Arabidopsis thaliana: one gene and its partner. The protein of the gene in region 2 interacts with the protein of the main gene of each other region in a pairwise test. Each region holds a gene or a part of one and is shown on either strand. Other genes may lie near its edges.

The links. The genes of interacting proteins can lie anywhere in the genome.
Region 1: the proteins of BFT (region 2) and FD interact in a two-hybrid assay, tested with the Arabidopsis thaliana proteins (one study listed by BioGRID).

Annotation. Positions count from the first base shown.
Region 1 is NC_003075.7:17,002,532-17,006,849, forward strand, and holds FD (Basic-leucine zipper (bZIP) transcription factor family protein), read left to right. Parts: upstream 1-1,990; 5' UTR 1,991-2,214; coding exon 2,215-2,922; coding exon of another isoform or gene 2,923-2,949; exon of another isoform or gene 2,950-3,057; coding exon 3,058-3,135; intron 3,136-3,349; coding exon 3,350-3,421; 3' UTR 3,422-3,777; downstream 3,778-4,318. UniProt on the Arabidopsis thaliana protein: Transcription factor required for the transition to flowering promoted by FT.
Region 2 is NC_003076.8:24,920,874-24,924,311, forward strand, and holds BFT (PEBP (phosphatidylethanolamine-binding protein) family protein), read left to right. Parts: upstream 1-1,928; 5' UTR 1,929-1,936; coding exon 1,937-2,137; intron 2,138-2,240; coding exon 2,241-2,302; intron 2,303-2,389; coding exon 2,390-2,430; intron 2,431-2,591; exon of another isoform or gene 2,592-2,606; coding exon 2,607-2,836; 3' UTR 2,837-2,924; downstream 2,925-3,438. Other genes in the region: OXA1 (inner membrane OXA1-like protein), read right to left, coding at 3,189-3,438. UniProt on the Arabidopsis thaliana protein: May form complexes with phosphorylated ligands by interfering with kinases and their effectors.

The DNA of each region.
Region 1 (4,318 bases), on a different chromosome or scaffold from region 2:
TTATATAACTTGCTAAAACAGAATTTGTTTCCATTTATATGCATTGTTTAAAAGTAAACTAAAGAGGATATTAAAAGACAGAGAAATAGATTTGATGGAGTTTGGGACAGAGCAATATAGTGCTGACACCTGTCCAATCCCCTGAGACGTGACATGTCACACTCCTTTCTTATACAACTTACAAGTTCTCTGCACAATTTTATGATACAATGGACATTTGAATTCACTCGTTACAGACTATACCCCAACTTTATTTTGAGTTTATTTTGCAAAAATGATTTGAGACTGGGAAAATTTGTTTTATTTTCGTCAATGAATATGCGTAGTGACGTCGATACTAACAAAAGTACTACTCTTTACATTCGAATTTTTGGTGGTTGCGAAACGACAACAAAGATCTATGAAATTTGTGTTTCACATTAAAAACTCAAAATGTATTTTGAAACCCAATGTTTGGAAACATGTAAACAAATTAAAGTCTTTGTACTTTTCACCAACAAATGGAAAATATATATCTTCTAACAAATATGAGTATTTGAGGAGCTTGCATTTTCGATAAACAGCTCCTAATGTAGTACTCTTTGCATGTTCAAAAGATGGGACGTTTCCTTGAGGGCTGATTTCAACATTCAGAGAAAAAAAATTATATACATGTACGGAAATGAATAGTTAATCTTGTTGAATAGAATAAGAGAAGAGGAAAGAAAAACAAATATCGTATGTTATTATAGTTTATATATAATCAACTTGCAATAAAGGAAAAATTTGAAAAGCGTGACTAGATATGCACTTGGAGACTGACTTACATAGTAGATACGATAATCGAATATCTAGATATCTGGATGGTACTCATATTATTTGTTTATTACGTATGATCAAAGATTTATTAATATGTATCATCTTCTACTTGGCTTAATTATTAACTAGTTTAGTATTCGTCTCTAATCTTCAAAACAATCAACATAAATATCTAAACTATATTGGTCATATAAAATCTAATACTTTACTATCCACTTGTAATGTTTGTTTTGTTCAGAGTTGGAGACCCACATAAATTGATTTCCCTATCCGTATTGTAAAACAGACTATTGACACTTTGATCAAATCTCGTTGGATGACATGAACACCAATGATTTGAAGTGGGGAACAATTCAATAGTTAACAATATTTTTGTTATTTAAATGCATTTCAACTATACGGTCGATATTATTTGAAATGTTTGCAACTACATATTTAAGAAAACGTTAAGTGCAAATGACCCGTTCTTAAACACTCCGAATCTCATATAAAATAAAGTTTTTTTGTACTAATCAAACATATAATTTTCAGACTTTTAGTTTTGATAGAAACAAATTACATATACGAACACCCAAGTACTACTTTTTATATTCGATAATATTATTCTATCTTCGTTTAAAATATATTAACCACATCAAGAAAAGAGGAATGAAATATTCTAACGGAATTAATGTTTGCTGCCAAAAACAAAAAAAAAACAGAAGAAATTTTTACATTTGAGTTTATTGGTATAGTAGTTAGGATTTTGTGTTTTATTATATATTTAAACGAATTTATTTAATTATTTCTAATACAGAAAGATGTATATATTCTTATCTACTTTCATTTTGTTTTTAATGTTTTATTTCGTCAATACCCTTAGGGGAAAAAAGTGTATTTTGGCAAATTTTCCTTAAATCTAAGAGCAAGAACAAAAATTAAAGTCACACATGAAAGTTGAAAGTGATCCAAAGGGATTTGATATTAGAAAATAGAAAGTGAGATAAAACCAAAAATAATTTTATATATTTGCCTGGCTTTTTACAAGCATCTCACCCCCACTCACTCTTTACATTTAAGGATGATGAAAAATACTTCACTTTTGAAATAATCAAACACCATTTTTAATCTTTATAATAACTCTGACGTTGAAGACATCAACAAACACCTTTAATTACATATAATAGTTTATGGAATTTCTCTTCTTCTTCTTGAAATATATTATTTAATTGGAAATAGTTCAATCCCTCTGTCTCTTCTTCTGGAGTCTTGGACCCAACCCCATCATTCCAGAAATGACCGGCTAAAGTCAAGAACCTCTCTCTGAGCTCTCACCACTTTCTCTCTCTACTCCCTCTCTGCGTGTAGGATACTACTAGACAATTGACAACCAAAGACTAAAGCTGTGTTGTTGGTTCACTTCTGTTCTCTTTTCCAATGTTGTCATCAGCTAAGCATCAGAGAAACCATAGACTCTCTGCTACAAACAAGAACCAGACTCTCACCAAAGTTTCTTCCATTTCATCCTCATCACCATCGTCTTCTTCTTCATCATCATCAACCTCATCATCATCTCCTTTACCTTCTCAAGACTCTCAAGCCCAGAAGAGATCTCTTGTCACCATGGAAGAAGTTTGGAATGACATCAACCTTGCTTCCATCCACCACCTAAACCGACACAGCCCTCATCCACAACACAACCACGAGCCAAGGTTCAGGGGCCAAAACCACCACAACCAAAACCCTAACTCAATCTTCCAAGATTTTCTCAAAGGATCTTTGAACCAGGAACCAGCACCCACAAGCCAGACCACGGGTTCTGCGCCTAATGGCGATTCCACCACGGTCACTGTTCTTTACAGCTCTCCTTTTCCACCTCCTGCAACTGTTCTGAGCTTGAATTCCGGCGCTGGCTTCGAGTTTCTCGATAACCAAGATCCTCTTGTTACCTCAAACTCTAATCTTCATACCCACCATCACCTCTCAAACGCTCATGCCTTCAACACCTCTTTCGAGGCTCTGGTTCCATCCAGTTCTTTTGGTAAGAAAAGAGGCCAAGATTCCAATGAAGGTTCAGGGAATAGAAGACATAAGCGTATGATCAAGAACAGAGAATCTGCAGCTCGTTCCCGCGCTAGGAAACAGGAATGTGCCTCTCCTCTTCCCTCCTAATCTTCTTCTACTCATGTGTATCAAAAAGGGAAGAAAAGAAATGTGGTTTTGCCATCAAATTGCTTTTGATCTAAAAAAAGGTCTCTTGGTTTTGATTCTCATTTGCAGGCTTATACAAACGAGTTAGAACTTGAAGTTGCTCACTTGCAGGCAGAAAATGCAAGACTCAAGAGACAACAAGATCAGGTAAACAAGCAGAGCCAAGTTCTTAATGTTTTACCCTTTTGTAGCACTCATGTCATTAGATCAATTCCTTGTAGTTTAACCAACTTATAAAAAGAGACAGACAGACAGCCTCTGGAGTATATTTGTTTTACACACTTTTTTGTCCAATGACATTTTGGGTGGTTAGATTCTGATACTTCAGTTGTGTGTTTATTATGTGTGTGTGTGTGTGCAGTTAAAAATGGCTGCAGCAATTCAGCAACCCAAAAAGAACACACTTCAACGGTCTTCCACAGCTCCATTTTGAGAAATCTACAAGTCCTTGTTTCTCTTTTGGGGATTGAGATTGTCTCATGAAGAAGTGAAAAAATGGCAAAAGTTTGTACCCTTTTTTATTAGCTATAAGTATAACTAAGCCTAAAATTGTAGAACTAAGATATTGTAGGGGAAAAAAGAAGATGTAAAACAAAAGACCCGGAAAGAGAAAAGGATCTTTCAATTTCCTAAGGCACAGGAACACCTGTCCTGGGTCCTCTCTTAATGTTCTGTCGTTTTCCTATGCAAACCCTTTTTTCACTTCTGTACTAACTTCTACTTGTATTCTTGTTGTAGTAATGTTCTACTTCCTCTTCTAATACTAGTAAGAAAAAAAACCTTATGTTTTACTGTTTAACCAATTTGGTTCTTAAAAGAAGCAAAGGATCAAATGACCAATAGACAAAACAGTGCTCCACTTAAATGATGACAATACCAGAGAAAAGTGAGAAGGGGACCTATCACTGAACATTTAATTTTCTCCCTATCACATTATCACATAAATATCCAATCCTTTGGCTGTCTACCATACAAGCCAACAACTTGCAATATGATTTTGAAACCTCCAAGCCAATGGGAATTAAGTTCACCACTTTTCGGGTTGGTCAAGAGAGAACATGATAAGTTTCTTATTCAGCATGGTCACTCCCCACGTTTTATTTATATTCATAGTACATAGTATTGTAGCTTTTGCTCTAACTGGTCACCATCAAAAACACTAGGTGTGTTTGTATTCATTTGGTTTATCAAGAGAATAGTTTTTATCTTCTTTTGGCCCAATTTCATTTACCTGACAGTGATAAGTCTTGTTGATCCACTTTTGGTTGTTGATATATTGCTGTGTATTCTTTTAAGCAACCAAAAGTGGACATCAAGAGCTAATATGGTG
Region 2 (3,438 bases):
CAATTTAGAAGAAGAAAACTAAGATGTAAACATGATTCATGAAAGTTTGTGATGAAAAAGAGAATAAGTTTCAGCTGATTTTAGAACTAGTACCTCTACTATGAATGAATTAATGAGTTTAACCGATTTACACTGAATGTCAAAATGAAAAGGAGAATATGGTCGTACACTGACAAAATAAAAGAGGGAAAAGATATGGTCGTACACTGATACTGATAGTATCGGATCATACGTCAATAAGGGATAAGATATTATTAGGTTCCCACACTTGGACATCATCTCTTTATTTGTTTCGTTGAAAAAAATAATGTTCTAATTTTATCGGATCTCCTCAACAAAATATCACTCCAATTCCACCACCTCTCTGTCCCCTGTCCTCTTTTTTTTCTTTTTGCCTATTGAAAAAGTCACCTTAATTTTTCTTGTGGCATAATTTTTCTTGGACCATAGAGATATTCATAAAAGAAAGAAAAGAAAAGATTGTTCACAATGCCACCTTTCTGTATATAATTCACTACGAAGAAACAACATTTGGCATTTGACAAACCATCAAGCAGCAACTATGGATTCTCTAGAGAATCTCGCATGCAAATATCAATGTGTCCCCTAGATTTTATTTTCTTCTTCTTTTTTTTTTTTTTCTTTTTTTTTTTGTATAGTTTGGTCAAATTCGAACATGTGACATGTTTAGTAATTTATGATCCGATGTTGTCTTGAATTTACGAAATCCCTACGTGTGTGTGTCTTAAGTCGAAATTTACATGTTAGTAAGAAGCTCCTAGTTTTGACTCCAAATATCTCCAAGTTCCAACGACACGAAGAAACTTTTTATAACTGAGTTTGGCTAAAAGCTAATATGTTACTATGTTAGCACCAATTAACCATCGACGTGTTAGATTCTATTCAGACAAAATTTTAGTCACTTTTTTTTGTATCGTCAACTGGAATCTATGTCTTTTTTAATTTCGTAGTAATGTTTGCGTTGACTGTTTAGCTAAGAAAGTAAGAGCGTATAGTTTTCTATTTTCTCATGTAAATTTGTTGGTTTCTGATTAGTTCTCAGTAGAGTAAAGTGTCTTCAAGAAAATGAAAGTGTTGATGATTGCTAGAGAACAAATATGTCTCTCTATTCAACGATAATGGTTATAAGACGGATCAACAAAATGGCTACAGAAACAAGCATTTAAAATTAATAAGGTGCACTGTATTTGGGACACGTATTGAATTGAGCATGATGAGAAACTCATGTTGATTCTGTGACTAGAAACTATAAAGTGTCTAATTAGATTCTTTGTCTTTGTAAAGCAGATTCCATTCTTTTTATTGTTTTATCTCTTCTTCATATTTGGAATATCTACAAATCAATTCCTAAGCCAATCATCACAGTATCTGGTTTTTATTTTTTTATCGACACGCGGGCTTATTCTTTTCTCCATTTGGTCGATCGAATATTCGAATGTAATGGGGACAATAGTTATTGAGTTTTAATAAATACGAAACGTGAAGATAATTTTGCAATAGATAATTGATCTGTTATCTATACATGTGAGTTTTTTTTTTTTTTTTTTTTTTTTTTGTTATGTGCATACACGGAAGTATTTTTTAAAATAGGTAACAAAATAAACATGTAATTTCTAACCATATAGAATAGGTAACAAATTACAATAATTGAAGTAATATGGTTAGAAATTACATGTCAGATATATACATACAATATCTAAAGATGACAAATGTCAAATAGTAAAATAATAGAGCATTTATGGAAGACTATCTAATTCAGTATAGTAGATATATACATACATACAAAATACAATCTATCTCTCACTTTGTGCCAAGTCCCGAGATTCTTTAGAAAGCCTATATAAAGCTATCACATGTTTTCATTCTAACGAAATCAGCATCAATCACAAACGCAAACACATTGGAGCAAAGAAAAATGTCAAGAGAAATAGAGCCACTAATAGTGGGAAGAGTGATAGGAGATGTACTCGAAATGTTTAATCCAAGTGTGACAATGAGAGTCACTTTCAATTCCAACACAATCGTATCCAATGGTCACGAGCTCGCGCCTTCTCTTCTCCTCTCTAAGCCTCGCGTTGAGATCGGTGGCCAAGATCTTCGTTCCTTCTTCACCTTAGTACGTAATTAGCTTTCTTCTAAACTTAAAATACATATGTTAAGTACCTTATTTAGTTCTCTCTTGTAGCATTAATCTTGTGGTTTTCTTTTTAACTCGAAAGATCATGATGGACCCCGATGCCCCGAGTCCTAGTAATCCTTATATGCGTGAATATCTGCATTGGTAAGTCGATTGAAGATATCACATTACTTCTCATATATTACAACAACAATGTATAATATGTATTCTTTATGTTCTCATCAAATTCAGGATGGTGACAGATATTCCCGGGACAACCGATGCTTCTTTTGGTAAGAATACATCACATCATAACACATTTACATAGACTTTTTCACCCACCACATCTTTGGTTGTAAACACATTCCCAAGCAAACACATTTTTGGAAGAGGAAGAGAAATAGGGATGTATGTATGTATGTATGTATGTTGATGAAGATAAGATCATGAATGGATTTATTGATTGCAGGGAGAGAGATAGTGAGATATGAGACGCCTAAACCGGTGGCGGGAATACACAGATACGTCTTTGCGCTATTCAAACAGAGAGGGAGGCAAGCTGTGAAGGCAGCGCCGGAAACTAGAGAGTGTTTCAACACAAACGCTTTCTCTTCTTACTTTGGTCTTTCTCAACCTGTTGCTGCTGTTTACTTCAACGCCCAACGTGAAACTGCTCCTCGACGACGTCCTTCTTATTAACTCTATCTATTATAACTCTGCTCTATAAACAATAAACTTCAACATAGCTACAAAGATTATGGATGCTTGTGCTGAATAAATCCAACCATTACCAAGATGTTCAAAAAGATCCAATGTTGTTCAAGTTCTGTTACTTAACAAGATAAAAAAGTATATGTTATCCAAAATGTTTCTATAAAAACAATCTTCTATTCTATAATTGGTCAAAACAAACTTACAATAGCTGCCTCCAGCTTTTTAGCTCACAGAGTAGTTTCATCAGTGAGAAAATTCTGTGTTCACTTTCGACTCAAAAGCTTTATTATTTTTTTCGTTTGGCCCTCTTAACAAAAATAGTATGCACCGTTTTAAATCACTTCTTCTTGCTGCTATTCTTCTTCCTTCCCTTTACTTGGCTCTCCAAAGCCTTGAGCCTCTTACTAACAGGACTCAGCGATGTTGAGGAAAGCCTCGGGTTTACTGGCGAAGGTGGTTCTATCTGGTTCTGTGTATGGTCCTGTGTCATGGCTTTCATTTTCTTGAGAGCTGAAAACAGGTCAAATGAAGGTTGTTGACCTGGAGGAGGTGGAGGCAGATCAGGTATGCGTAACATCTTCTTCACT